3 linked regions of the Oryctolagus cuniculus genome follow. The protein of the gene in region 1 interacts with the protein of each later gene in a pairwise test. Links are inferred from orthologs where the notes say so. Each region holds a gene or a part of one and is shown in the gene's direction. Other genes may lie near its edges.

What was found.
Region 2: the proteins of ARHGEF7 (region 1) and SH2D1A interact in binary tests that used the Homo sapiens proteins (3 or more experiments, as listed by UniProt). The link is inferred for Oryctolagus cuniculus from reciprocal best matches to the Homo sapiens genes ARHGEF7 and SH2D1A.
Region 3: the proteins of ARHGEF7 (region 1) and GIT1 interact in binary tests that used the Homo sapiens proteins (3 or more experiments, as listed by UniProt). The link is inferred for Oryctolagus cuniculus from reciprocal best matches to the Homo sapiens genes ARHGEF7 and GIT1.

Annotation. Positions count from the first base shown.
Region 1 is NC_091440.1:2,032,597-2,042,239, reverse strand, and holds part of ARHGEF7 (rho guanine nucleotide exchange factor 7), read left to right. Parts: intron 1-3,600; coding exon 3,601-3,739; intron 3,740-5,683; coding exon 5,684-5,743; intron 5,744-6,354; coding exon 6,355-6,501; intron 6,502-9,643. UniProt on the Homo sapiens protein: Acts as a RAC1 guanine nucleotide exchange factor (GEF) and can induce membrane ruffling. Functions in cell migration, attachment and cell spreading. Promotes targeting of RAC1 to focal adhesions. May function as a positive regulator of apoptosis.
Region 2 is NC_091453.1:102,131,749-102,141,935, forward strand, and holds the start of SH2D1A (SH2 domain-containing protein 1A), read left to right. Parts: upstream 1-3,969; 5' UTR 3,970-4,062; intron 4,063-4,274; exon of another isoform or gene 4,275-4,376; 5' UTR 4,377-4,476; coding exon 4,477-4,613; intron 4,614-10,187.
Region 3 is NC_091448.1:45,035,860-45,046,266, reverse strand, and holds the end of GIT1 (ARF GTPase-activating protein GIT1), read left to right. Parts: intron 1-586; coding exon 587-804; intron 805-887; coding exon 888-982; intron 983-1,318; coding exon 1,319-1,361; intron 1,362-2,821; coding exon 2,822-2,848; intron 2,849-2,987; coding exon 2,988-3,036; intron 3,037-3,370; coding exon 3,371-3,443; intron 3,444-3,748; coding exon 3,749-3,846; intron 3,847-4,095; coding exon 4,096-4,207; intron 4,208-4,285; coding exon 4,286-4,419; intron 4,420-4,523; coding exon 4,524-4,676; intron 4,677-4,766; coding exon 4,767-5,000; intron 5,001-5,076; coding exon 5,077-5,130; intron 5,131-5,213; coding exon 5,214-5,300; intron 5,301-5,410; coding exon 5,411-5,484; intron 5,485-5,574; coding exon 5,575-5,757; intron 5,758-5,860; coding exon 5,861-5,924; intron 5,925-6,047; coding exon 6,048-6,260; 3' UTR 6,261-7,479; downstream 7,480-10,407. Other genes in the region: TP53I13 (tumor protein p53-inducible protein 13), read right to left, coding at 7,896-8,008, 8,089-8,620, 8,710-8,892, 9,013-9,141. UniProt on the Homo sapiens protein: GTPase-activating protein for ADP ribosylation factor family members, including ARF1.

The DNA of each region.
Region 1 (9,643 bases):
ACACCGGCACCTCACCTCCACACCACACACTACACCACACACCTCTCATCTCTACACCACACACCTCACCTCCACACCACACACTACACCACACACCTCTCATCTCTACACCACACACTACACCAACACCTCATCTCCACACCACACACTACGCCACACATTTCACCTCCACACCACACACTACACCACACACCTCTCATCTCTACACCACACACCTCACCTCTACACCACACACTACACCACACACCTCAGCTCCACGCCAGCACCTCACCTCTAGACCACACACTACACCGGCACCTCACCTCCACACCAGCACCTCATCTCCACACCACACACTACACCGGCACCTCACCTCTACACCACACACTACACCACACACCTCACCTCTACACCACACACTACACCTCCACACCACACACTACACCAGCACCTCACCTCTACACCACACACTACACCACACACCTCACCTCCACACCAGCACCTCACCTCTACACCACACACTACACCGGCACCTCACCTCTACACCACACACTACACCACACACCTCACCTCTACACCACACACTACACCACACACTACACCACACACCTCACCTCTACACCACACACTACACCACACACCTCACCTCCACACCACACACTACACCAGCACCTCACCTCTACACCACACACCTCACCTCCACACCAGCACCTCACCTCTACACCACACACTACACCACACACCTCACCTCTACACCACACACTACACCAGCACCTCACCTCTGCACCACACACTACACCACACACCTCTCATCTCTACACCACACACTACACCAGCACCTCACCTCTATACCACACACTACACCACACACCTCATCTCTACACCACACACTACACCAGCACCTCACCTCTACACCACACACTGCACCAGCACCTCACCTCTACACCACACACTACACCACACCTCACCTCTACACCACACACTACACCACACACCTCACCTCCACACCGGCACCTCACCTCTAGACCACACACTACACCGGCACCTCACCTCTACACCACACACCTCACCTCCACACCAACACCTCACCTCTACACCACACACCTCATCTCGGTACCACACACCTCACCTCTACACCACACACTACACCAGCACCTCACCTCTACACCACACACTACACCACACACCTCACCTCTACACCAACACCTCACCTCTACACCACACACTACACCACACATCTCATCTCTACACCACACACCTCACCTCCACACCAACACCTCACCTCTACACCACACACCTCATCTCGGTACCACACACCTCACCTCTATACCACACACCTCACGTCTACACCAGCACCTCACCTCTATATCACACACTACACCAACACCTCACCTCTACACCAGCACCTCACCTCTACACCACACACTACACCACACACATCACCTCTAGACTGCACACCTCACCTCTAGACCACACACCTCACCTCTACACCAGCACCTCACCTCTGCACCACACACTACACCACACACCTCACCTCTACATCGGCACCTCACCTCTACACCACACACTACACCACACACCTCACCTCTACACCAACACCTCACCTCTACATCGGCACCTCACCTCTACACCAACACCTCACCTCTACACCAGCACCTCACCTCTACACCACACACTGTACCAACACCCCTACACCAACACGTCACCTCTACACCAAGCACCTGCCCTTGGCCAGATGCCCACCTTGAACACAGTTCTTAGGAAGCACAAAAATTGGAGACTGAAGGTGTTGAGTTGCGTGTTGCCTGCAAAACACATGGGTGTGTACACACCCTACGGTACCCTCCCCAGCCCTCAGAAGGAGTTGGGTGGTTTTGTTGGCCATGTTTTGATGTGTAGCTGTGAAGGCTGCCTTGTGTACACTGAGGACAGGCTATTTTCTGCTGGTCTATAGCTAGGACGGTGCTTGGCTTGGCCGATACCTGAGTGTGCACGTCCGCTGATCTGAAGGACTGCTGCTGGTGTGGATGGCTGATGGGGCTGTGAGTCCTGTGCGTGCCGGGTGGCGTCTGAGCTGTGTGACGTGCTCAGGGCACGGAAGGCTGCTTTCCTTCAAGGCGGCATGGTTTCGGCACGTTTCTAAGGTGGTTTGGCCGGGCGGCGTGTTCCTGCCCTCCGAAGCCTAGGCGGCATGGCGTGAGGCTGGGTGGATGGCTGGGCGGAGCCACCGAGGTGCCCGCCCGGCTCCTCTCCTCGTGCGGTTGTTGGAGGGTGGGCGTCGGGCTATAGGAGTCACCATCTGAACTCAGCCCGACACCACCGGGAGCCTGTGAGTGTTTGCTGTGCCCGGGGGTCGCCAAGGCCTCGTAGGTCTGGAGCCGGCATGGTGTGGCCTGGCAGGGCTGTCCCGGGCTCCTTTGGAAACCTGAACGGAGTGTGGCCTCTCAGGTTTTCTGTTAGGATCTTTGTGGTCTCTTAGAGCGCCCTTCGTAGCTTTCTGAGAGACACCTCCTCCTGTTTGCAGAAAAGCCTCTGTGCTAGGAAAAGAGGTTTGCTCAGGGTGCTGCTGGGGGGGTCATTTGAGTCCAGCCTTTTGGGTCGAGGCGTGGGGGTCCTGACACTGGACTGATGGCTGAGGGCACTCCCTGGTTCCCAGGGGGTGACAGGTGACGAGGGGGTGGTCCTGGCCCCTCGGGGTGTGACGTGGTGACTGAGGTGCCCTGTCTCCTGGGAGGTGACGTGGCGCGACCAGAGGGTCTCCCGGATCTCCCGGGACGTGGTGAAGTGCTAGGGGTTGTCCTGGTCTTCAGGATCTGGCGAGGTGCTGAGGGCTCACGCTTGGAGAACGTGGCACGAGGTGCCTGGGCTGGCGTGCCCCTCTCCCAGCTGGCATGGTTGCAGGGCTGGAGGTGATGCACGGGGGGTGAGGGTGGCAGGCCGGGCCCCACGGCAGAGGTGAAGTCAGTGTCCAGTAGCGAGCAGCACTCACAGACGTGTTGGTGTGAGCCCAGTTCCTGTGGAACTGTGAGGGCAGAGGCGACGGGCGTGGAACCGCGGGATGAGGAGGGCCCCTGTGGGAACACTCGGCTGACCGAGACGCTGGGACAGGGTGCTGAGCGGGGAGGCCGCGCCTCGGTGGGGCTCTGGACGTGCAGTGTTGCCCCTCTCCTCTCGCGACGTGACGACGGAGTGGTGTGGGAGGTGTGAAGCCTCCACCGTGCTGCTTCCCGGCCTGTGGTGCTCTGCGCGGCCTCCAGGTCGGGAGCCGTTGCTGGGTGTGCAGAAGCTGGGGCCCTGGATGGGGTTGCAGGAGGGCCTCTGGGGGCCGTCTGGGCAGCTCGGGACGTGGCCCACTCTGGCGCTAGCAGAACTGCGCAGACTTGCTGATCCCGCGACACGCACAGCTGCTGTTGCTCGTGGGAGCGCAGAGCTGGGACCCTCCGGGGGTCTCCTTTGGCGTTTCAGAAGAGCAGCTCATGTTTGCTTAGCAAAGTTGTGTGTAGGCTTCAAAACCCAAGTCGGAACAGTGTCGCCTGCTGTGAGTGCTGGCCCCTCAGTGGAAGTCAGAGAGCCGTGAGGACCACTCGCCCTGACCCGAGCTCCATCTTCCGCCCTGCCCAGTGAGGACCTGGGGGAGTTCATGGAGATGAAAGGTGCCAACAGCCCGGGGATTCTCGTGTTGACCACCGGCCTCAGCAGACCCTTCATGCGCCTCGACAAGTACCCCACGCTGCTCAAGGAGCTCGAAAGACACATGGAGGTAGGAGCTGTCGGGGCCCCCGTCACCCAGGGCCCTAGCCAGGGACTCGGGCTGTGTGTTCTGACAGGTGGAGGGAGGAGCTGTCGGGGCCCCCGTCACCCAGGGCGCTAGCCAGGGACTCGGGCTGTGTGTTCTGACAGGTGGAGGAGGAGCTGTCGCAGCCCCTGTCACCCAGGGCCCTAGCCAGGGACTCGGGGCTGTGTGTTCTGACAGGTGGAGGGAGGAGCTGTCGGGGCCCCCGTCACCCAGGGCGCTAGCCAGGGACTCGGGCTGTGTGTTCTGACAGGTGGAGGAGGAGCTGTCGGGGCCCCTGTCACCCAGGGCCCTAGCCAGGGACTCGGGGCTGTGTGTTCTGACAGGTGGAGGGAGGAGCTGTCGGGGCCCCCGTCACCCAGGGCGCTAGCCAGGGACTCGGGCTGTGTGTTCCCACAGGTGGAGGGAGGAGCTGTCGGGGCCCCCGTCACCAGGGCACTAGCCAGGGACTCGGGCTGTGTGTTCCGACAGGTGGAGGGAGGAGCTGTCGCAGCCCCCGTCACCCAGGGCGCTAGCCAGGGACTCGGGCTGTGTGTTCCCACAGGTGGAGGGAGGAGCTGTCGGGGTCCCCGTCACCAGGGCGCTAGCCAGGGACTCGGGGCTGTGTGTTCCCACAGGTGGAGGGAGGAGCTGTCGGGGCCCCCGTCACCAGGGCACTAGCCAGGGACTCGGGCTGTGTGTTCCGACAGGTGGAGGGAGGAGCTGTCGCAGCCCCCGTCACCCAGGGCGCTAGCCAGGGACTCGGGCTGTGTGTTCCGACAGGTGGAGGGAGGAGCTGTCGGGGCCCCCGTCACCCAGGGCGCTAGCCAGGGACTCGGGCTGTGTGTTCCAACAGGTGGAGGGAGGAGCTGTCGGGGCCCCTGTCACCCAGGGCACTAGCCAGGGACTCGGGCTGTGTGTTCCGACAGGTGGAGGGAGGAGCTGTCGGGGCCCCCGTCACCAGGGCGCTAGCCAGGGACTCGGGCTGTGTGTTCCCACAGGTGGAGGGAGGAGCTGTCGGGGCCCCTGTCACCCAGGGCGCTAGCCAGGGACTCGGGGCTGTGTGTTCCGACAGGTGGAGGAGGAGCTGTCGGGGCCCCCGTCACCCAGGGCGCTAGCCAGGGACTCGGGCTGTGTGTTCCGACAGGTGGAGGGAGGAGCTGTCGGGGCCCCCGTCACCCAGGGCACTAGCCAGGGACTCGGGCTGTGTGTTCCGACAGGTGGAGGGAGGAGCTGTCGGGGCCCCTGTCACCCAGGGCGCTAGCCAGGGACTCGGGGCTGTGTGTTCCGACAGGTGGAGGAGGAGCTGTCGGGGCCCCCGTCACCCAGGGCGCTAGCCAGGGACTCGGGCTGTGTGTTCCGACAGGTGGAGGGAGGAACTGTCGGGGCCCCCGTCACCCAGGGCGCTAGCCAGGGACTCGGGCTGTGTGTTCCCACAGGTGGAGGGAGGAGCTGTCGGGGCCCCCGTCACCCAGGGCGCTAGCCAGGGACTCGGGCTGTGTGTTCCCACAGGTGGAGGGAGGAGCTGTCGGGGCCCCCGTCACCCAGGGCACTAGCCAGGGACTCGGGGCTGTGTGTTCCGACAGGTGGAGGGAGGAGCTGTCGGGGCCCCCGTCACCAGGGCACTAGCCAGGGACTCGGGCTGTGTGTTCCGACAGGTGGAGGGAGGAGCTGTCGGGGCCCCCGTCACCAGGGCACTAGCCAGGACCCTCTGACGGTCCGCGCAGCAGTGGCCGGAGACAGCCTGAAGCTGCAGGCTGCAGGAACGCATCATTCACGAAACCGGCTTCGTTTGCTGACGCCTGCCCCGCCGCTGTCTTTCCCCCACGCTAAATCCCGTGGCTCCCGCTGAGGAGAGCAGGGCTGCGGAGTGAGCGGTGCTGGCGTCCTGGCTTGTGATGCAGAAGCTCATAGGGTGTTTCTTCTTCAAAGGATCATCATCCCGACAGACAGGATATCCAGAAGTCCATGACTGCCTTCAAGAACCTGTCTGTAAGTGCTGGAGCCGAGTGTGGCAGTGAATCGGGAGGGACAGGTTAGGTGACGAGAGCTGCTTTCACGCGGCTTCAGCGTCTGCTCGCATGAGAGATGACGATGAGCGAGGCGTGGGGACCCCGTGGCCGTCACTGCTGTTGGAGCGGGCGCTGGGCACCCGCTGAGGGACCTGGTGGCTGTAGATTCTGGAAGGCACCACTCCTTAGTGTCACAGCCGCGGCCACAGCGGGGCTCCGGTGGCTCCGCCCACACGTGTTCCTCCAGGGAGCACAGTTGCCCTGGCCCTTACTGTCTTTGGCCTTTATGTTGGCGAGGCCAGTGAGCCAGAGCGTCCGCTTCCGTTCCTACAGTGGCAGGATCTGCTCTGTTTGTAGGAATACTGCTGGGTGTTGCAGCCAAGTTGTGTTTGCTTCTGTGAGTTAATCCCATACTTTTTTTTTTAAAGAAAATGTTTCCAACTCCATACAGTCAAGCAGGTCAGTCGATTACCTGTCTTAGGAGGTAGGCCAGGAAGCAGTGGCTGTCAGTGGGAGGGGTCAGGCAGAGACAGCACAGCCAGTCTGGAAGCTTCGGGAGGTCCTGTCTGACAGTGTCGTTCTGTGTCTCAGGCCCAGTGTCAGGAGGTGCGGAAGAGGAAAGAGCTGGAGTCCCAGATCCTGACGGAGGCCATCCGGAACTGGGAGGGGGACGGCATCAAGACCCTGGGCAGCGTCATCTTCATGTCGCAGGTCGTGATGCAGTGTGCAGGGAGCGAGGTACCGCAGCCCAGCACCGTCCCCGCCTGCTGTCCCCCCTCGGGGCCCCGCCACACAGGGTCATCATGGCAGCCCACCACCGTCCCCGCCCGCTGTCCCCCCCGGGGCCCTGCCACACAGGGTCGTCAGGGCAGCCCACCACCGTCCCCGCCCGTCTGTCCCCCCTCGGGGCCTGCCACACAGGGTCATCATGGCAGCCCACCACCGTCCCCGCCCGTCTGTCCCGCCTCGGGGCCTGCCACACAGGGTCGTCAGGGCAGCCCACCACCGTCCCCGCCCGTCTGTCCCCCCTCGGGGCCTGCCACACAGGGTCATCATGGCAGCCCGCCACCGTCCCCGCCTGCTGTCCCGCCTCGGGGCCTGCCACACAGGGTCATCATGGCAGCCCACCTGCTGTCACTGCCCGTCTGTCCTCTCCTCGGGGTCCTGCCACACAGGGTCATCATGGCAGCCCACCACCGTCCCCGCCCGCTGTCCCGCCCCAGGGCCTGCCACACAGGGTCATCATGGCAGCCCGCCACCGTCCCCGCCCGTCTGTCCCCTCCTCGGGGCCCTGCCACACAGGGTCATCAGGGCAGCCCACCTGCTGTCACTGCCCGTCTGTCCCTCCTCGGGGCCCTGCCTCACAGGGTCATCATGGCAGCCCACCACTGTCCCCGCCTGCTGTCCCGCCTCGGGGTCCTGCCACACAGGGTCATCATGGCAGCCCACCACTGTCCCCGCCCGTCTGTCCCCTCCTCGGGGCCCTGCCACACAGGGTCATCAGGGCAGCCCGCCACTGTCCCCGCCCGTCTGTCCCTCCTCGGGGCCCCGCCACACAGGGTCATCATGGCAGCCCACCACTGTCCCCGCCCGTCTGTCCCTCCTCGGGGTCCCGCCTCACAGGGTCATCAGGGCAGCCCGCCACTGTCCCCGCCCGTCTGTCCCGCCTCGGGGCCTGCCTCACAGGGTCGTCATGGCAGCCCACCTGCTGTCACCACCCGTCTGTCCCCTCCTCGGGGTCCTGCCACACAGGGTCATCATGGCAGCCCACCACTGTCCCCGCCCGTCTGTCCCCGCCTCGGGGTCCTGCCACACAGGGTCATCATGGCAGCCCACCACTGTCACCGCCCGTCTGTCCCCTCCTCGGGGTCCTGCCACACAGGGTCATCATGGCAGCCCACCACTGTCCCCGCCCGTCTGTCCCCGCCTCGGGGTCCTGCCACACAGGGTCATCATGGCAGCCCACCTGCTGTCACCACCCGTCTGTCCCCTCCTTGGGGTCCTGCCACACAGGGTCGTCATGGCAGCCCACCTGCTGTCACCACCTGTCTGTCCCCCCTTGGGGCCCTGCCACACAGGGTCATCATGGCAGCCCACCTGCTGTCACTGCCCGTCTGTCCTCTCCTCGGGGTCCTGCCACACAGGGTCATCATGGCAGCCCACCTGCTGTCAACGTCCGTCTGTCCCCTCCTCGGGGTCCTGCCACACAGGGTCATCAGGGCAGCCCACCTGCTGTCAACGCCCGTCTGTCCCCTCCTTAGGGTCCTGCCACACAGGGTCATCATGGCAGCCCACCACTGTCACCGCCCGTCTGTCCCCTCCTTGGGGTCCCGCCGACAGGGTCATCATGGCAGCCCACCTGCTGTCACCGCCTGTCTGTCCCCTCCTCGGGGCCCTGCCACACAGGGTCATCATGGCAGCCCACCTGCTGTCAACGCCCGTCTGTCCCCTCCTCGGGGCCCTGCCACACAGGGTCATCATGGCAGCCCACCACTGTCACTGCCTGTCTGTCCCCTCCTTAGGGTCCTGCCACACAGGGTCATCATGGCAGCCCACCTGCTGTCACCACCTGTCTGTCCCCCCTTGGGGCCCTGCCACACAGGGTCATCATGGCAGCCTACCACTGTCACTGCCCGTCTGTCCTCTCCTTAGGGTCCTGCCACACAGGGTCATCATGGCAGCCCACCTGCTGTCACTGCCCGTCTGTCCCCTCCTTGGGGTCCTGCCACACAGGGTCATCATGGCAGCCCACCTGCTGTCACTGCCCGTCTGTCCTCTCCTCGGGGCCCTGCCTCACAGGGTCATCAGGGCAGCCCACCACTGTCACTGCCCGTCTGTCCCCTCCTTAGGGCCCCGCCACACAGGGTCATCATGGCAGCCCACCTGCTGTCACCACCTGTCTGTCCCCCCTTGGGGCCCCGCCACACAGGGTCATCATGGCAGCCCACCTGCTGTCACCGCCTGCTGTCCCCTCCTTGGGGTCCCGCCACACAGGGTCATCATGGCAGCCCACCGTCACCACCCGTCTGTCCCCTCCTTAGGGTCCTGCCACACAGGGTCATCAGGGCAGCCCACCACTGTCACTGCCCGTCTGTCCCCTCCTTAGGGTCCTGCCACACAGGGTCATCATGGCAGCCCACCTGCTGTCACCATCCGTCTGTCCCCTCCTTAGGGTCCCGCCACACAGGGTCATCATGGCAGCCCACCTGCTGTCACTGCCCGTCTGTCCCCTCCTTAGGGTCCTGCCACACAGGGTCATCATGGCAGCCCACCTGCTGTCACCACCCGTCTGTCCCCTCCTTGGGGTCCCGCCACACAGGGTCATCATGGCAGCCCACCTGCTGTCACCACCCGTCTGTCCCCTCCTTGGGGTCCCGCCACACAGGGTCGTCATGGCAGCCCACCACTGTCACCACCCGTCTGTCCCCTCTTTGGGGTCCTGCCACACAGGTCCTCAGGGACCGTCAGTGAGGACAAAACCCAGCAGGACTCCTGTCCTGTCACAACTTGGTCTGGGGCTTGTTAGAGTGCATTAGAGGGGCTTAGATCTGGGTGCGGGCTTGTCTAGAGCCTTGTAAGGTCTGTGCCTGTCCGGCCGTCACTCCTGGGAATGTTTCCCGTGGTTCATGTCATTGCACTTTTCTGTCGTGTGTACCAGTTGGCATTTACTTACGGCACGTGGTGGGGTGGGGAGGGGTCACGGTTTTCTTCTGGGTTTAGTTTAGTGGGAGGTTAAACCAGGTTCTGCCCTCTGAACCCCCCGAGCCGTCCACTTGGACCGTGCGCGTGAGTTCATGCTCACTGCGTTACGAGGGCAGCACCTCTTTTTGCGTGTTCTGTCTCTGGGAAAAGCAGCTGACGTGATCGGAACCCGCGAGGT
Region 2 (10,187 bases), on another chromosome or scaffold:
AGGGCATTCACATGTAAAATTTTGTCACCTCTCAAAGACCTCAGGAGGTGACAAGTTTAGATGAGAAGACACTTTCAACCTTGGCTGACAGCTCCTCTAACTTGCAATACTTTTATATTTGATTTAAATGGCATCTATATCATAAGAAGTCAGTTTTCTTTAAACTGTGAAGCCCTCTTCCTCTGCTCTAGAATTTTTATTCTTTAGGCTCTTTCAAAGCACCAAGAAGAAAAATATTTTCCCTACTGGGTGAGATTTCAGGAAACAAGTCTTGCTTATTCAACACAAATGAGTTCAGTCCATTTTTTCCGGTTTCTCTCTCAATAAGCCCATTTGGCTTTCCTTTAGAGCCCAGGGTATTATAGCTGGAATTGAACTAAGGGGTCATCTGTTTCAACTCCATTTGACAGACAAGAAAAATGAGGCTCAGAGAGAGGAAGTGAGTTAGTTGCAAAACAGGGTGTAAAATTTGAATCTCATAATTACTGGCCTAATATTCTTCCAATTCACTTTGCCATTTTTTTTTTACCATTTGTTTATTTTTTTTAAAGAGTGACAGAGAGGCAGAGGGAGGGAGGGAGGGGTGAGAGAGAGAGAGAGGTCTGCCATCTGCTGGTTCACTCCCCAAATGGCCACAATGGTCAGAGCTAGGCCAATCCAAAGCCAGGATCCAGGAGCTGTTTCTGGTTCTCCCATTCTGGCCACTTTGTACTGCTTTCCCAGGCCATAGCAGAGAGCTGGATCGGAAATGGAGCAGCCAGGACTTGAACCGGCACTCATATGGGATGCTGACACTGCAGGCGGCAGTTTTACCCGCTATGCCACAGTGCCAGCCCCCATTTTGCCATTTTCAAAGGTGGGCTACAAACATATAGAAACCATATTTGTGTGTGTGTGTGTGCACATGTGTGCATAAAATAGTATCATTTTCTAAAGTTATTTGAAAGAGTGACACACATGCACACACAGTTTTACATTTGCCGGTTCACTCCCTAAATGCCTGCGACAGCCAGGGCTGGACTATGCTGACCAGGAGCCTGGAACTCCATACAGATCTCCCACAGGGGTGGCAGGGGGTCAAGTACTTGGACCATCGTCTGCTTCCTTCCCAGGAGCATTGGCAAGAAGCTGAATTGGAAGTGGAGGAGTTGGGATTTGAATTGGCATTCTCATATTGGATGCCAGTGCCACAAGTAGTGGCTTAAACCGATGTGCTACAATGCTAGCCCATGTTTTACCTTATTTCCTTAAGAGCATTAATTTAAATCATTACTCAACATATGTAGCATCTACCATGTGTCAGACAAGGAAGATACAGTGGTGAACGCAAATCCTGCCACCTTGGACCTTATAGAGACAATAAACAGACGATTTTGCTCCTAAGTGGTATATATTTTGTACCTGGAACCCATTGTTCCTATTACTCTGTTGGCACTTCCCACTATCTCCATTGCTCTCCTCTTTCATTTTTCCCCTTTCCTCTCTGGGGAGAGATAAGGAAGCCAGCCATTTCAGTTCCTCTTTTTTTCTACACTTTAAGCTCAGTGTGTAGCACTAGAGTGACGATGTCAGTATTTTTCATCAACACTACACTAGTGGGCTGGTTTGGCTGTCAGCTTGCTTGTGAAATGACAATGAGGTATTGGATGTGAGAGCTGTACTATTACCTTATAATTTATCCGCCGTTTTTTTAAAATGTGATTTTAGTTGTGCTGAACCCTATCATACCTGGCTGCTTTGACAGGAGTGCTATTTTAGCAACATGGAACAAAACAGAGAAAGAAAAGAAGTACGTATGGTACACTTGTCCTGTCAAATCCAGGTTGCTCTGTTCCCAAGTGTGTGGATGATTTGTCAAAATTGTTTAGAGACAAAAAAGAAAAGTTACATTTTGTTTTTAATCTGTGTCACACCAAATGTTCTCACAGTTTACTTCACAGGTGGGCTGTTGTCCATATGGGCTTATATAAGGGGTTCCCCTCCCCTGTCTTCTTTCATATTTGAAATTCCACCATTGTGATTAGTTTCTCTGGGATAATCTTTTGCACATTCAAAATACAGAGTCCAGGGGCTGGCGCTGTGTTGTAGCAGGTAAAGCCACCACCTGTAGTGCCGGCATCCCATATGGGCACCAGTTCAAGTCCTGGCTGCTCCAATTCCCATCCAGTTCTCTGCTATGGCCTGGGAAAGCAGTAGAAAATAGCCCATGTACTTGGGCCCCTGTACCCGTGTGGGAGACCCAGAAGAAGCTCCTGGCTTCCGATTGGCACAGCTCCAGCTGTTGTGGCCAGTGGGGGAGTGAAACAGCAGATGGAAGATTCTCTCTCTGTCTCTGTCTCCCCTTCTCTGTGTAACTCTGACTGCCAAATAATTTTTTTTAAAAAAGCTATACTACTATAGTTTTAATGATCTGTGATTGCTTTAAAATTTACTGTATATGGGTGAAATGACCATTTTTCCATTCAAATATTTATAGCTGTTGTTTATATTCCCACTAAACTAGGGTCTTTTTTACTTTTTACTTGCTAAACTTAGTATTAAGCGTTTTCACTGTAACATAAATTTAAAATGTTACCTCAAAAAGGAAGAGAATATTATGTTTGTGTCTACAAAGCACGTTCAATCTGTAAAAAACTAATTAAAAATCGTTAAAGTCTCTAAAATGTGAAAAGAAATGAAGGAGACTTATATTTCAGCTACTATGGCTGGGCATTCTTCCACCAAGGAGAGCTGTTGCTGGCTACCACTGAAATCTTAAAGGATTGTCCTTTTTTTTTTTTTTTTTTTTTTTTTTTTTGACAGGCAGAATGGACAGTGAGAGAGAGACAGAGAGAAAGGTCTTCCTTTTGCCGTTGGTTCACCCTCCAAAGGCTGCCACGGCCGGCGCACTGCAGTCGGCACATTGAGCTGATCTAAAGCCAGGAGTCAGGTGCTTCTCCTGGTCTCCCATGGGGTGCAGGGCCCAATGACTTGGGCCATCCTCCACTGCACTCCCGGGCCATAGCAGAGAGTTGGACTGGAAGAGGGGCAACTGGGACAGAATCCGGCGCCCCAACCGGGACTAGAACCCCATGTGCCAGCCCTGCAGGCGGAGGATTTAGCCTATTGAGCCGTGGTGCTGGCCAAAAGGATTGTCCTTAACCCTCATAGTTGGAGGGAAAATAACCATCTTTGGCTCTGAGCATCCAATTCATTGGTTAAGATATGAGGGTTTAAATGTCCTCCCAAGAGAGTTCCCAGCCCAGACGCATTCTCAGAAAAGTAGGTGGTGAAGTGGTGAAAGGAATACAACAGACAACATAGCTTCAGCTCTTTGTATTCCAATTCTAAAAGTATTTTACATAATCTAACGTGACATGTGTAAGACTGTTGAGTTCCAGGCATTAAACGATGTCTAGCAAAAATGGAGGAAGTTTTTGGGAAATATTACTTATCACTATTTGAAATAGAAGCAATGCTTTATTTCAGAGAAGAAAATGTAGGCTGAAGGCTTTTAAAAAATTAATGACAGCTTAACATCAATTGAAGAAGAAGCCATTCTCTAGAAACAACAGAATAAAAGTTACCACACAATTATCAACATGCACAAAATGTTGTAAAACAAGTTTTATGGCTGAAATCCTGAAAAGCGGGCCCTACACACCAAAGGGCATAGACAAATCCATGTAATGATGAAGACCCAGTTAAATGATTTGGCTTCATTCCAGGGCCCAGCAAATAGACAAATCTGGAATACCTTTGGACATACACTGGGATTTTTGTACCTCCTCCAGCACATTGGGATCCTAGACAAGGTGCTAGAAAAAAAATCAGTATTTACTTAGGACCAGGATCGTTCAAGATGACTATCTGAGTTAGGAGCTGAGAGAGAGGAACTTGCCCAAAGTCTATTGTTCACCTGCTTCATCTGATTCTGCAGGAGTCTCATGGCCATGATCAGTAGTAATTGCATATAGAAGGTGCCGTTTCGGTGCTTTGGTTTCAGAGCTTTTAGTCCTTCCGTCTTCAGTAGGTTTCAGCCCCGCATGACACGCTGCCTCTATCAACTCCTTTGAAGATCGGGTAAGCTAAGTCATTCCCGGTGGCCCCAGGGGGGAAAATGCAAGAATCGAAGCATTACCAAGCACTCTTGTCAGTGGGTGAGAGTCTGCATTGGCAGTACAGCCCAAATCGTGCAAAGTCCGTTTTCCAAGGTTGCACTCTTTGTAGGAACCCTATGTTGGTTGGGGGGTGGGGACCACACCCGGTGACAAGTTTGATAGAACCAAGCGGCTAAGTTGCTGAGCTGGTTTTAATTGAAGTGTGAGAGGGAGGTTTTTAGGCAGGTAGACAACATCCTGTTGTTCCGGTGCTTCTCTTTCTTTTTGCACATTTAGCTGAACTGGGAGTCAGGTGGCTGACTTGTGCCTGGCTGCAGCAGCTGCATCTCCCAAGTACCATCTGCAAACCTCGGCCTGCCCCAGAGTCTCCTAGGCAATGGATGCGGTGGCTGTGTATCATGGCAAAATCAGCAGGGAAACCGGGGAGAAGCTCCTGCTCGCCACCGGGCTGGACGGCAGCTATTTGCTGAGGGACAGTGAGAGTGTCCCGGGCGTGTATTGCCTTTGTGTGCTGTGAGTACGTTATGGCTGTGGCGGCGCAGAGTGTGGGCAGTGGGCACGGGGGGCCTGGGGGCAGGGATGCGGGTGGCAGTTGTTCATTAAGATCTCCTCTCCATGGCCGCAAGATTTCCTGTTCAGCTCCCACTTTGGCCGAGTGTCTTCCTGGGGATTTCATTCCCTGGCTGCCGCCTCTCCAGGAGGACCTCGCCAGGGACTTTCTGGGCAGCTGCAGAATGTAGCCTTGAGGATATGGGGAAGCATGGCCTAGAATTTACCTTTGCTTTGAGACTCGGGCTCCTGGCTTCCGTCTTGACTTCCAACTGAGGCCAGCAAGATGGAGTCCTGGAATGATGGGCCAATCAGATTTGGGGCCCCCAGCTCTGGAGAGAAGGAAAGGCCTCTCTTGAGATGGTTTGGAAGTGTCATCCCAAAGGAAGAATACCAAATTCAGGGAGAGGAGGCAGACTAAAGGGCAGAGTCCATTACTTTCAGAATGCGGCCACCAGTTGGGTCAGGACGCAGAGATGGGGTGTGTGTGAGTAAAACTGCTGCTCTGGATCAGCTTATTTAGCTTCTTTTAGAGGAGGTGTGTGGGGGACAGGAGGTTTTAAAAATAAGACCCTCCTCTATGAAAGCTAGGACCGATAGTGGTAAAGGGTGTGGCGGGAAAACACCCTCGTCATGATTCAGCTTTGCCTTTGTCTAGGCGTGTCTGGGTCTAAATGCCCCATTTTGAATCAGATGCACCTGCATCTTTGTTCCAGGGCTCCAGAGGCAGACAGCTGTGAGAGCGAAACCCTGTGCTGGTCAGAAGCCAGGTGTGTGGCCTTGGCAAATTAATGTCTTGGTCTTTCAGTTTCTGCATCCATTCAATGGGTATTACCCACCTCACAGAACTGTGAAGGTTCCGTGCTGTAATGCATGTAAAAAATTAACACTGAACCTAACACATAGTAAGTGTTCAGTAGAAATAAGATATTGGTATTATTACAATCAATCTTCTCTTTCAGTTGATTACTTTTAACACTCCTGGGAAGGACCTAGCTGAAGCATTGTCATCACCAGGATAAAATCACCCATGGAAACACCAGCACTCTACGTTAGGTTCTAGACAGAAACAAAATAAGGGCTAACGCTTGGTAGTCAGTCAGTTCAGTATTGATGATACATTGATTGTATATTGGTTTTTAAAAATGGCCAAGGTTTGTTAGTAGTAGTTCTGAGATTGTACTAAATACATTCATCATAAGGACTGCAAAGGAGATGCACACAAGTTACTGAATCTCTTGAGCTTGCAGTTTCATGTTTTCCTGATATTACTGTGCTTCCTGAGTGAAACCAGGAGAGGGTGGTGAAAGCCAACTAGGATTCTTAGGCGCTTTTCTTTTTAATTTAAAAAAAATTTAAAAATTTAACTGATATATGAAAATTGTACATATTCATGGGGCTCCATTGATGTTTTGATACGTGCATACGTCATGTAATGTTCAAATCTAGATAAACATGTCAATCTCCTGCAAGCATTTGTTGTTTCTTTATAGATAGACTCTTTCATTATCAAAAGAAGGTAGGGGAGTGAGTGGGAGGGTTGAGGGGGCTGCTTTAGGGAAGCTAGCCAAGGAGGTAATGTGCTTCTTAGCTTAGCGGTAAAGAGGAAGGCACAAAAGAAGCCTGGGCAGGGGTTGGGAGAGCGGGGGACAGTGTGTGGCTACGTACATTAAGGCTTCATTTTTGCTGGCCTCCTGGCCATTTCTTAAGCTCACTGAGTATGCTTCCTATTTAGGGTTTTTGCCCTTAATGCTCCTTCTGCAAAAATTTGATTTACATGTTTAGGCAACTGACTCTTCCTTCAGCGAGGCCTTCTCTGGCCACCCTATCTAGACTGAATGCCCTCTACCTCTCCCACTTACGTGCTCTTTATTTTTCTTCAAGGAGCTTTAAAGGCCTGACATTTGCATGTTTACTTAACTGTATTGCTGGGATCTTCTAGAAAAATGTAATCTCGGCTGGCACCGCGGCTCACTAGGTTAATCCTCCACCTGCGGCACTGGCACCCCTGGTTCTAGTCCCGGTCGGGGCACCAGATTCTGTCCTGGTTGCTCCTCTTCCAGTCCAGCTCTCTGCTGTGGCCCGGGAGGGCAGTGGAGGATGGCCCAAGTCCTTGGGTCCTTGCACCCGCATGGGAGACCAGGAGGAAGCATCTGGCTCCTGGCTTCAGGGTGGTGCAGCGTGCCGGCCATAGCGGCCACTTGGTGGGTGAACCAACGGAAAAAGGAAGACCTTTCTCTCTGTCTGTCTCTCTCTCACTGTCACTCTGCCTGTCAAAAAATAAATAAATAAAATAAATAAATAAATAGAAAAAATGTAATCTCCGTGAGGGCAAGGGTCTTCATCTCCAGCCCCAGGAATATAGCCTGGTGCATAGATAGGCACTCAAAAAATATTTCTGAATTAACCAACCAGTGAACTATAGAAGGAAATTCTGTTTTTTACTGCGAAGAGCCTTGATCCAGGGGCTTGCGTTTTGGTGAGATGGGTAAAGCCAATGCCTGCAATGCCAGTATCCTGAAGGGGCGCCAGTTTGTGTCCCGGCTGCTCCACTTCCAATCTAGCTCCCTGGTAAAAGCAGCAGAAGATGGCACAGGCGTTTGGGCCTCTGCACCCATGTGGGAGATTCAGATGAAGCTCCTGGCTTCTGGCCCAGCCCTGGCTATTCATCTACCCGGGGAGTGAATCAGCTGATGGAAGATCAGTCAATCCCTCCCACCCTCCCTCCCTCTTCTCCCTCCCTCTTCTCCCTTCCTCTCCCTTTCTCCCTGTGACTCTGACTTTCAAATAGATAAATAAATCTGTGCATGCATTGTGGGGGGGAAGAGCCTTAATCTGTCATCAGGAGGCTAGGAGGGGGGCTCCAGAGGAGTCACTCATATTCTCTAGGCCTTAGTTTCCATGTTTATAAAACAGGAATAGTAATGCATGTCTTCTGCAAGTTTGCTGAAAGTGAAATATGCAGAGAGAAGGACAAGTGTAGCCTTTTGCCCACATAGGCCAGAACCATACAAGGGATGAATTTAAACAGGAGGGAAATTCAATTCTCAAATGTGTAAATGTAGTTTGTATGACTCTTGGGTCTCCATGAAAGCCTCCTCGTGAAGCCACAGAAAATAGTAGGCAAATTGGGAGTTCCCTACTGTGTCTTTTGATTGGTACACTCTGGCTTCAAAGTTTTATGAGATTGTTAGGGTGATCGGCACACTGTGCTGCAGAGGGAAGACACAAGGACATTTTCCTTTGATCAGTGTTTCTCAACCTTTTTGAGCCACGTAGCCTTCTTGATAAACATAAACATTTCATTCCCTTTTTTTTTAATTAAATTGTATTTTGAAATAAGCCCTGTACTCATTTTAAACCAAAACACTTATGCTTGAAATATGCAGCTTAGGTGGTAATGTAAGTGGTATCATGTACTTATGAACCACAAGGTACAGCTAACAAACATGCATTGATTGTAGGGTTTACTCAGAATAGTTTCTCATTCTCTCTCTTTTTAAAAAGATTTATTTATTTATTTGAAAGAGTTACACAGAAAGAGAAGGAGAGGTAGAGAGGTAGAGGTAGAGGTAGAGAGAGAGAGAGAGAGAGAGAGAATCTTCCATCTGCTGGTTCACTCCCCAATCAGCCGCAATGGCCAGAGCTGTGCCGATCCAAAGCCAGGAGCCAGGAGCTTCCTCTGGGTCTCCCACATGGGTGCAGGGGCCCAAAGACATGGGCCATCTTCTTCTGCTTTCCCAGGCCACAGCAGAGAGCTGGATCGGAAGCGGAGCAGCTGGGACTTGAACCGATGCCCATATTGGATGCCTGCACTGCAGGCGGCGGCCCCTCTCATTCTCTTGTTTGTTCCCATTGACCAAGATTTGGTTGAGCTTTAGTTCATATATATATAGACAGGCAGAATGGACAGTGAGAGAGAGAGACAGAGAGAAAGGTCTTCCTTTGCCGTTGGTTCACCCTCCAATGGCCGCCGCGGCTGGCACGCTGCGGCCGGCGCACCGCGCTGATCCGATGGCAGGAGCCAGGTACTTATCCTGGTCTCCCATGGGGTGCAGGGCCCAAGTACTTGGGCCATCCTCCACTGCCTTCCTGGGCCACAGCAGAGAGCTGGCCTGGAAGAGGGGCAACCGGGACAGAATCCGGTGCCCCAACCAGGACTAGAGCCCGGTGTGCCGGCGCCGCAAGGCGAAGGATTAGCCTAGTGAGCCGCGGCGCCGGCACTCCTATATATATTTTTAAAGATTTCTTTATTCACTTTGAAAGTCAGTTACAGGGCGGGGGACAGAATGTGAGTTTCCATCTACTGATACATTTCCCCAGATGGCTGCAACAGCCAGTTTTGGACCAGGCTGAAGCCAGGAGCTTTATCCGGGTCTCCCATGCAGGTGGCAGGGGCCCAAACACTTGGGCTGTCTTCTCCTAGGCCATTGGCAGGGAGCTGGATTGGGAGTGGAGCAGCTGGGAAATGAACTGTTGCCCATATAGGATGCTGAAATCACAGGCTGTGACTTTACCCGCTACACTGTGGTGCTGGCCTTTCTGTATTTTTCTTGTAATAGATTTCAAATGCCTTTCAAACTGTACTTTAAGCTGTATTCTCACACTACACTTGCTCTTTTCCCCAATTATGAACCCTCTAATCATGGATTTCAGATATGGCCTTTTCTTCTGTTCGGTTTCAGAAGCCAAAGCTTTATGAATTTCGTAAAGCACTAAAGAAGTTTCCCATTTATCGGACTATTCAACTTCATTTTAAGTCAGAGGTTTTTCATCCAATCATATTCTTTAAGCACATCTGGATTTTTGTATCATAAGTCTATTAAAATAGTTCCTTATACCTATTCAATATAAAAAATTTGAAAAATATAGATAATGGAAATAAGGGAAAAAAGTCATCTATAGTTTTACAACCTAAAGATAGCTATCGTTGAAAATTAAGTGAATTTTCTTCTGTATCTTAATAAGATGAATTGCTTTGTGAGCACACATGTGCTCTTAAAATATTGTATTCTGCGTTCCCATTTAACATGTAATATCCACTTCTTATAATGTTCTTACAAATGATTTTGAAGCATTACTTTTAATGGCTTCATGATAGTGTAGCTAGCTAGTGAATACCACATTTCCCTTTACTAGTCATTTGTCTTTAAATATTTGACTCTTTCCATTTTCTTATTATAAATTTCATCATGATTTGTACTTCAGTGTATAAAGGTTTCCTTGCATTTATGATTATTTCTGTATGTGATTTCTATGTAGAATATCTAGGTTAGAAAAGCATGAACAGTTTAGGGTTCATGATCAGCAAATATTTCCTCCTCAATGGTTATTCTAATGTATATGCTCACCAGTAATGCATGAGGATGTCTGTTTCACTGCGTTCTCTTCCTACAAGTAGGTATTCTTGTTAAAAAAAAAAAACTCATTGAAATTTTGTGTCTAGTTCTTTAATTTGTATTTTATACTTTTTCTCTTTTTTGTATTTCTTCAATTAATAAGTATTTTTATATGATTGTTTAGATATATTTCCTCATT
Region 3 (10,407 bases), on another chromosome or scaffold:
ATGGGAAAGAAATAATAGCAACTACCTCATAGGTGATATGGCTTCCTGGCAGAGCATACAAGCACACAGCGGCTGGTGACTGTGGCAGTTGTTACGATTTTTTGAATCTTATTTTTATTTATTTGAAAGGCTGACAGAGATCGCCCAGCTGCTTGTTCACTCCCCAAATGCCTACAACAGCCAGGGGTGGGCCAGGTCTAAGCAAGAAACCCAGAGCTCAGTCCAGGTCTCCCATGTGGGCGACCGGGACCCAGGCACCTCGAGCCATTCCCTTCAGCCTCTCGGTACATTAGCAGGAAGCTGGTTCCTAAGTGGAGGAGCTGTGACTTGGAGCAGGCCCTCTGGATGGGGATGTGAGCATCCCAGGCCGCATCCTGGCTGCTGCACCGGGTGCCAGCCCTGAAGGCAGTTTTTATTCGTTGGCATTCACTCCTGGTGGGGAGCCTTCTGTCTTCCCTGACATGGCCAGATTTTGGCTGAGGCCCTTGGAGCTGGTGGGCTTGCGGGGAGCAGCGGGGCAAGGGGCAGCTTGGGGCAGGACTCGTGCACACGCGTGCACAGTTACTGCACACTCCACTGCTTGCAGCAACTGCACTCAAGCGTGCGGACCGGCAACCTGGAGACATGTCTGCGCCTGCTGTCCTTGGGCGCCCAGGCCAACTTCTTCCACCCAGAGAAGGGCACCACACCCCTGCACGTGGCTGCCAAGGCAGGGCAGACGCTGCAGGCAGAGCTGCTGGTCGTGTACGGGGCTGACCCTGGCTCCCCCGACGTTAATGGCCGCACACCCATCGACTATGCCAGGTGAGGGTCGGCCAGGGGGTGAGGCCTGGCCGGTGGGGGCAGTGGGCTGCTGCTGCAGGGCTGAGCCATACCCCTCCCCACAGGCAGGCCGGGCACCATGAACTGGCGGAAAGGCTAGTCGAGTGCCAGTATGAGCTCACTGACCGGCTGGCCTTCTACCTCTGTGGACGTAAGCCGGGTGAGCAGAGCACGGGCAGGTCTGGCTGGGCCTGGCAGGTGGGACCCAGACACACCCCAGCAGCAGGTGCCATGGTGACAAAGCCGGCTGGGGAACAGTGTTGCTAGGCAACTGGCTCCTGTGAAATTGCTGCAGGCTCTGGGCTGCAGCAGGTTGGGGCCAGAGAGTGGGGGTGGGCCTAACTTCCAGCCAGCTCCCAGCGCTCTTGGGGTGGCCTGCCCTCCCCCTTCCCCCCCGACACTTCTGGGTGCCAAGCCCTGCTTGTGGCAGTGGGGTGGGCTCCCAGCTGCTGAGGCCACCCAGCACCAGTGACTTGGCATTTTTATTTTTGTTCAGATCACAAGAATGGGCATTACATCATCCCACAGATGGCTGACAGGTGAGTGCCCACCTGACGCCCCTTCCCAAAGGCTGTTGGATGCCATGCGGACGTTTGACCCCCAGAGGCCCCACCCCATCCTCTCCCCTGGTTTCAGGGGCCTGGGACCCCACCCCACCCCCATCCTGTCGGGGGGCTGGAGGCACAGGTATTTCAGAGCCTAGTCTTCACTCCTAATGCTGGGCCCAACGGCAGGTAAGGATTGCCAGCTCAGTACACGACCAGCACCACCTGAGCCGCTTGACTGCCCAGGGCACAAGGAGGGCCTCTCTGCTGGGAGGGTGGCTGCTGGGCTCTGACCCCACCTTACACAAACCTCTGTTCCGTAGTGAAAGATGGTAGGCTCCAGGGATTGACCCGCTCTGCGGCTACTGCCCAGGCCCTGGGCGCACACTCAGAAATCAGGCAAGGGCCATGCATGGCACAGGGTTTGAGTGAGGTGTTCCCGCCTCTGATCTGAGAGGCTGGGAGAGCCCCAGGTGGTAAGGACACCCCAGGCACTCATCCAGCTCAGGAGATGCATGCTAGTGCCACCTGGTGGCCATCTCTGGCCGCGGCGGTGTTCCACTGCCAGGCTGTAACTGGAGAGGAGCTTGCTCCCTCCCCTAGGAGCTGGTGTGAACAGATGCAGAGGGTCAGGCCTGGGCAGCAGGGATCCCTCAACCCAGACGTCCTGTTCTGAGACTCTCCCCATTGCTCTGGTCTGATTCTGCCTTGTGTGTGCGGCAAAAAGCCCGACTTGTGGGCACGCGCTCAGTGCAACATGGGCCGTGCACCTTCTCAGAGCCAGCAGCTACTCTGGGCACTGCAGTCACAGGCGGATGTCTGACATGTTCCCTGCTCTTGCTCCAGCTAGGGAGGCTGCCCGTCACTGCAGCTCTTGCCGACGGCAGGAGGCACAGGGGTTGGAAATACCACCCGGGATGGGGCGGGAGTCTCAGGAACACAGCCAGGGCAAGAGCCCAGGCCATTCCCAGGGCAGACGGGTTCCAGGCCCGGCGTGTGGGCTCAGCTGTGCCGTCCATGGGCTGTGGGACTGGAGGCAGGACGCTCAGCCCGTCTTGGCTACCTCATCTGAGGAGGGACTGGCAGAGCTGTTGAGAGGATTAAGTGAGATGATGCGTGCAAGGCATCCAGCCCGTACTTAGAAGTTCGCTTTCGGTGGAGGCAGGGCTGAGGCGTGCCCTGTGCACTGTTGGAATGTTGGGTCCCTACAGTGAGGGTGGTGCCACTGGGTGGGAAAGGCGCCCAGGCGAGAGGGAACGGCGCAGCACCTGGGGCGGGAGATGCCGAGGTGCTCCCGAGGTAGCCGAGAGCCCGTGAAGGGGCCCCAGACAGAGCAGGCAGGGTCGGGGTGCGTGCCGAGAGTGCCAGCTCCTCCCGAGGCGGCGCGAGCGGCCCTGCTGCTGGGTAACAGCTGCTGTCCTGTTCTTCCCTCTGCTGCCTTCCTCTGGACTTAGGTCTCGGCAAAAGTGCATGTCTCAGAGGTATAGAGGCTGTGGCGGGCGGGCGCGGGCGTCGCGGTCCTGTCTGCCTGGGAGCCCTGCATGCCTGGGAGGTCACCACAGGGGCCTGGCCACCTCTCACGGCCCTTCTTTCCCTTGCGTCTCCCCTCCTCGTCCCCAGCCTGGACCTGTCTGAGTTGGCAAAAGCTGCAAAGAAGAAGCTGCAGGCGGTGAGCACCCTGATGCTCGGAGCCCCCCACTAGCCCCCCCCGCCCCTGCACCCTTCCTGTCTTGGACCTCGGCTCTGCCTTCCATGTGCTAGGGCTCCCAGGGCCTTAGCCCCACCTCTGACCTACGAGGAATCAAGTAGTCCTGCTCCCTTCTGTCCTCGCCCTCCCTGGAGCTTGGACCCAAGCCCCTGCCTTGTTTTCCAGGTCTCAGAACACGGGGCTGGGTGGCAGCAAGGACACGAGCCTTTCCCCTGCCTCACGCCATCCTAGCCAGCTGGCCTGGCCAGCACTGGGGCCAGTGATCTGACAGAATCTCATCCCTCTCTGCCTCCAGCTCAGCAACCGGCTTTTTGAAGAGCTTGCCATGGACGTGTATGACGAGGTAGACCGGAGAGAGAATGACGCGGGTAAGTTCGGGGATGGCGGTCGGCCCGAGTGCCTCCCCTGCTGGGCCCTCAGTGGAACCCAGAAGAGGTGCCTGGCCGCGTCCCCGCTCCTCCCTCCCCTCTGCCCCCCACGTCACTGCCTCCTGGCCACAGCCAGATTCCAGCCTGAACTGGGGCTGCTGGATGGAGGGCGGGGTGGGCGTTGTTCTGTGCCTAGTCCCCCGCCAGCCTCATCCTGCATAAGCCTACCGCTCTGTTGAGCAGGCTCGGTGGGCATGGGGAGGCCCGGCCACCATGCTGATGGCCTCTCTGTCCCTCCCCCACAGTGTGGCTGGCCACCCAGAACCACAGCACACTGGTGACGGAGCGCAGCGCCGTGCCCTTCCTGCCGGTTAACCCGGAGTACTCGGCTACCCGGAATCAGGTCAGAGGGTGGTCTCTCCGTCCCCAGGAGCCCTGCCCTTCCTCAGCGCTCTGGGACTGGGCTCCTGCCCACCCTCGCCCCTCGCTGAGCTGGGGTTGGGGAACCAGGAAGACGTTGTTACTTTGAGTACTTGGCCTCTTCCCAGCGGGGCCCTGACGGACCAGCCCTGATTCAGGCGGGTGGCAGGGCAGTGCCTGGCGGCCCCGTCACTGCCAGTTAGGGGTCAGCGTGGTCTTCCCTGCCTTGCAGGGGCGACAGAAGTTGGCCCGCTTCAACGCCCGCGAGTTTGCCACCTTGATCATCGACATTCTCAGCGAGGCCAAGCGGAGGCAGCAGGGAAAGAGCCTGAGCAGCCCGACAGGTGCGGCGGGCGCGGCTCCCCCTGCCTGGGGAGACAGCCCAGGGGAGGCGCCCCGAGTGACAGGCCCTGTGCCCTCAGACCACCTCGAGCTGTCTGCACGGAGCCAGAGCGACCTGGACGACCAGCACGACTACGACAGCGTAGCCTCTGACGAGGACACGGACCAGGAGCCCCTGCGCAGTGCCGGCGCCACCCGGAACAACCGCGCCCGGGTCTGAGCACTGCCCCCGGCCCCAGCTCTACCTCCTCCCAGCGCAGGGATCGCCGGAGCCCCGGGCTGCGCCCGAGGGCTGACGGCCGGCGTGTCTCCCCACAGAGCATGGACTCCTCGGACCTGTCGGACGGGGCGGTGACGCTGCAGGAGTACCTGGAGCTGAAGAAGGCCCTGGCCACCTCGGAGGCCAAAGTGCAGCAGCTCATGAAGGTCAACAGCAGCCTGAGCGACGAGCTCCGGCGGCTACAGAGGGAGGTCAGCGCTGTCACCATGGCCACGGCCGGGGTTGTAGCGGGAGGGGGCCCGGCTGCGCCCCGCGGCCGACACACCGGTGTCCACCTGCAGATCCACAAGCTGCAGGCAGAGAACCTGCAGCTGCGGCAGCCCCCGGGGCCGGCGCCCACACCCCCGCTCCCCAGTGAGCGGGCGGAACACACCCCCATGGGGCCCGGCGGGAGCACCCACCGCAGGGACCGCCAGGCCTTCTCCATGTACGAGCCGGGCTCTGCCCTGAAGCCCTTCGGCGGCGGCGCGCCTGCGGACGAGCTCAGCACGCGGCTGCAGCCGTTCCACAGCTCCGTGAGTGCCCGCGGGCCTCGGGGCGGGGGCGGGGGCACCGGAGGCGAGCCCTGACGCCGCTGTGCTGACCCCGCAGGAGCTCGAGGACGACACCATGTACTCGGTGCATGTCCCTGCTGGCCTCTACCGGGTAAGCAGAGCCTGGGGCGGTCACACTGGGCACGCTGCGGGGGGTGGGGGAGGCGCTGACTCCAGCCCCGCCCTGCCTTGCAGATCCGGAAGGGGGTGTCTGCCTCAGCCGTGCCCTTCACGCCCTCCTCCCCGCTTCTGTCCAGCTCCCAGGAAGGAAGCCGCCACGCGGTAACGCCCGCCGCCCAGTACCCAAAGGGGGCTGGGGGCGACTGGGGGCGGGGGCGTGTGGGCCCAGGCCAGTCTGGAGCACTCACCCCCTGCCCCTCCACCCCCTTCAGAGCAAGCTCTCGCGCCACGGCAGCGGTGCTGACAGCGACTATGAGAACACACAGAGCGGGGACCCACTGCTGGGGTGAGCGCCCTGGGGTTTGCACCACAGCCCCCCACCCCGCCCCAGGTCAGCGCTGGGACCAAACGTCCCTCGTGTTTGACCCCGGGACAGGCTGGAAGGGAAGCGGTTTCTGGAGCTAGGCAAAGAGGAGGACTTGCACCCGGAGTTGGAGAGCCTGGACGGGGACCTGGACCCCGGGCTGCCCAGCACAGAGGACGTCATTCTGAAGACAGAGCAGGTCACCAAGAACATCCAGGAGCTGCTGCGGGCGGCCCAGGAGTTCAAGCATGACAGGTATGCCGGCAGGCCTGCCGCAGGAGAGGGGGGAGGGGCAGGCAGCCCCCAGCGTCCCTGGAAACCAGCCCGGAGAGCCCACTCGTTTCTGCCCTCCCTCCAGCTTTGTGCCCTGCTCAGAGAAGATCCATCTGGCTGTGACCGAGATGGCCTCTCTCTTCCCAAAGGTACAGGGGTCAGAGTGGGAGCCCGAGGGGTGGGGCAGACGTGGACAACGTGACAGCTCCCTGGGCAGAGGCACAGATGTGCTGGGCTTAAAGTCCAAGGCCCGGCCTCCCGTCTCCCTGCAGAGGCCAGCCCTGGAGCCGGTGCGCAGCTCCCTCCGGCTGCTCAACGCCAGCGCCTACCGGCTGCAGAGTGAGTGCCGGAAGACGGTGCCGCCGGAGCCTGGCGCCCCCGTGGACTTCCAGCTGCTGACTCAGCAGGTGATCCAGTGCGCCTACGACATTGCCAAGGCTGCCAAGCAGCTGGTCACCATCACCACCCGAGAGAAGAAGCAGTGACCACTCTCCCTACACCCTTACCTGCACCCTGGGACCTCACTGGCCACGGGAGCTGGGCCACTCCAGACACTAATCCCCACCCCACAGAGCCACTGGCACAAGTGCCCTTAGTGCTGCCGCCCTCCTCTGGCAGCCAGGCGCCCTGGTGCCCACCCTTTCAAGCCCCCAAGGATGGGGAGGTGGGGTGGCAGGACCTTCTGTCCCCCACATTCCATGTACCTCCCTCCCTGTACATAGCGCCCCTCCCTCCTAGCGTGCAGGGGCCTGCAAGGCGTCATTCCCAGCACCCTCAGCCTCGGGTCAGGGAGACACTCCCAGTGGGGCCGCTCCCCCTGCGTCACCCCACCCCCATGAGCCAGTTCAGCCCTACTGGGGGCTGAGTGGGGGCATCCCCCCCTGTACATACTCTCTGTGGATGTCCCTGCCCCGCAGCCACCAGCCCCCTTGCTGCTCTCCTCTCATGCCAAACGGCCCCTCCCGAGGGCACAGGCCCCAGCCTGCGTGCTGGGGGCCTCAGCAGCAAACACTGGAAAATCTTTCCTCTCCTCTCCCTACTCCTTAACTTTAACTTTGTGGTAACTGAGTGTCCCTGCGTGCCTGCGTGTGAGTGTGCGGGCGGCAGTGCCGTCCCGGAGGCCTGGTCCACCTGGAGCTTGGAGGGACAAGGGGACCAGAGTGGGGGAACCAGCATTGGGGGACAGCCTCCCTCCCCCCAGCCTGGGGCCAGAGACTGCAGGCTCACCAGCTGTGGTCCTGCCCTATGTCCCTCGTCATCGCTACCCCCACTGCACCCCTTCTCCATGAACTTCAAACAAGAAAACCACTTCTCTCCCTCCCTCCTCCTCTCCCTCCCCTGTGGAGGGGAAGGTGTGCTGGCTGGAGCGGAGGACAGAGCACCTGAGCCTGGGGCTGGCTCCCCGGGGTCCCCGACTCAGCTGGTGGCTGCGGAGCTGACGGTCCCCTCCCCTTAACCTCGTGGAGGCCAGCACCACCATCACTACCTGCACCTGCTGTGGTCCCACCCTCCAGGGGCCTGGGCACCCCCCACCCCCAGCTGCAGGCCAGGCACGCTGGAGAGGCTTACGCCAGCACCCACCACCAGCTCTTGTCCCTGTCCTGCCTCTTCCCTGGGGGGCCAGGCCCTGCCTGCGTGGTGGTGGGCTGACTGTCAAGACGTGTGTCATGTACATTTGTATCAAAAATAAATAAGTGGCCATGTGCTGCTTCCAGTGCTGGGCGGTGCGGGGGCCGGGCACGCGGGCAGGGAGAGGCACCAGCCTGGCGAACGAAGGGCGCTGGTGCCAGCAGCCGGGGGGAGGTCCGCAGAGGGGAGAGCAGCCGGTGTGCCCTCCCCGCTAAGGCAAGCAACACGGGCGTCCGGGTGGGAGTCTGTGGGGCAGAGGCACAAGCTCAACTCCAGATTCTACTAAAATAATTTAATTAGAAATATGGGGAATTTCGGAACGGGAGGCACAAAGCTTCATTTCTCCCAGGGGCCACCCCTCCCAAGGAAGTCGGGCCTCGGCAATGCTGCGTCTGCCACCAGGGGGCGCTGCGGCGCGGGTCCACGTGGCAGAGGTCGCGGCCTCCCAGCGGGAGGAGCCCGTGGCGCCACAGCGGCAGGGCCGGGCCAGGTCAGTCAGAGCTGTCCCCATCCGGGCCACTGTCCGGTGTGGGCGGAAGGAGGGGTCTCCGTCGGGAACGCTTGCCGCGGCGCGGAGGCATTAGCAACCTCCGCTTCAGCACAGCTGCGGGCAAGATGGGGTGCAGTCAGGGACACGCCCACCGCCGGGAGTAGAGGGGTGGGGGGCTGGGGGAGGACACTCACCGGCCACCGTGTCCTGGCTGTCCGCGGAGGGCCCCCAGTAGATGCTCTCCCCTCTTCGGAAGTTTCGGTGCAGCCGAGTGCAGAGTGTGGCCAGCGTGAGCAGCACCAACAGGAAGGTCAGGGCCATGGCCGCCCAGGCGGCCTCCTCGGTGCGTGGTGTGGGGCCCTGAGCTGCCCGCGGAGGCGCTGCTGCCCGCGGGGCTGGGGAAGGCTGAGTGGGGCAGGCACAGCCGCCGGGGCTGCCTTGCCCATGGGGCTCCAGAGCCTCTGTCCTGGAGCTGGCCTTGCTCTCAGGGAGCCCAGGCAGCACTGTAGTTTTACTCCCCTTATCTAAGGCTCCCAACATGCGCTGCTGGGACTTCAAGCTCCAGGAGGAAGACGAGGCAGGTCTCGGGCCTGAGGGAGTGGGCTGGAGACCCAGGGCGGCCCGCAGCCCCCGCCTCTTGGCACCACTGGGAGAGGGCTGTCTGGGCCCTCTGGATGTCCCTGCAGCACCTGGGGGCCACCAGCTCTGCCGAGCAAGGGCCAGGGCCTGAGGGGAGAAGACACGGTGGTGAGCCCTGGCCTGCGCACAGAACCCAGTAATCCGGCTGCCCACCGAGCCAGCCCCGCAGGCCTTACCTGGGCACACCTCCTCCCACACAGCCCCGCTCCAGCAGAGGGAGGGGCCCCAGAAAGCCCGACAGAGTGGGGCCACTCCTTTCTCTGTCGCTGCCGCCGCCGCCTCTTCAGCCAGTGGGCGGCCCAGGCTGGCTCTATCCATGCCATCTCCAGGGCCACCCCCCAGGCTGTCAGCACCACGGGCTATGAAAGGAATCAGTCCTTAGAGCAAAAGGGGAAAGGGGAGCAAGCTCTCGAATTTTCCTTCCCAGCACGTGGGGCATCATCCTCCTTGCCCGACAGCACCTTCCACCTGCCGCTTACCCGCTCCCGAGTAAGACTGGAGTCGGGGGCAAGCGGGGGCTTCGTCACCAACGTGTGGGCCAGGAGGGCAAGCCGGAGCTTCAGCCAGGGGTGGGCACAGGGGTGGTAGAGGAAGCCGACGGCCTTGGCCTGGAGGAGAGGCACAGAGACGCTCAGCTAAGCCCCAGTCCCTCCCAGTCTCATGTTCCCCTATCCTGGGGGCCAGTTCAAAGCAAGTCCCAGGATGGCCAAACGGTCCTTCCACCCTCAGCGCCCAGGAAAATATGGAGGAACCCGGGTACTACTGTGCACTCTCCTGTCTGTGTGTTCCCGTCACCCCTCATCTCCATCAAGGGCTACCCTCAAAGGTCATAGCCCGGCCAGACGCACACCACACTCCTCAGCTGTCTCTCTGCACCTGCGGCACAGTGACGCCTCTGCAGGTGCACAGTCCAGACTCCAAGCGCCCCCAAACAAAGACCAGGTCTTTACATATAGGTTGGATTGGGAAGCAGTCAGTCCCCCAAGAGCTTCTCGATCCAGGGCATGCAGGCAGCAGGTGCACAACCTCAGGACTGAAATGCTTCCTTAATCATGAATCATTCTTTGACTGAGTCGACCTGGCGCTCAGCACTGAGCTATGTGCTGCAGCAGATGCAAACGAGAGCAGAGCCTGCGTAAGAAACTCAGGAACAGCCACTGCGAGTGCAAGAGTAAACTAACAAACTCCAAGTGGTCAGCAGAGAAGCTGGAAGAGACGGTTATGAGCATTACAGGAATTTGGGGGAGGATGGAAAAAAGAAGGCTGACAAGACCAGGTGAGATGAGGAGGCTGTGAGCTCTCCTGGGAGGCTGCGGAGAGCAGGGAGCTGCAGACAGGCCAGGGGTGGCGGAGAATAACAGAAGCACCTGTGTGGTGAGCCGACCACAACACCAAGAGGAACCAAGGGTTGGGAGAGGCCGGAAAAGGCTTCTTTAAGGTCTAAGAAGCCAGACAGGGCTGTGTGAGGGAAGGGCCTGGTAGGTGACAGGATGCAACATCTCTTGGTGTGGAGATAGGATCCCCAAACATTAGATATTGCAGAGGAAAACCCAATGCAGGGCCCAAGCCCTGGGGCCATCCTCTGCTGCTTTCCCAGGCACATTAGCAGGCAGCTGGACCAAAAGTGGAGCAGCCGAGACTCAGAGCAGTGGCAACACTGTCGCAGGAGTCGGCTTCACCTGCTATGCCACAATGACAGCCCTAACGTCTCCTTTTTTTCCCCTTCACTAGACTGAAAACTCTGAGGCCACGCACTGTTTGTCTACCACAATGATGTTCGCTGAATTTGTGAATAAGCTCATTTAAACTTTGCCACCATGAAGGGTACTATTTTATCCCCATTTAGAGATGACAAAAACTGAGGCTTAGCACAG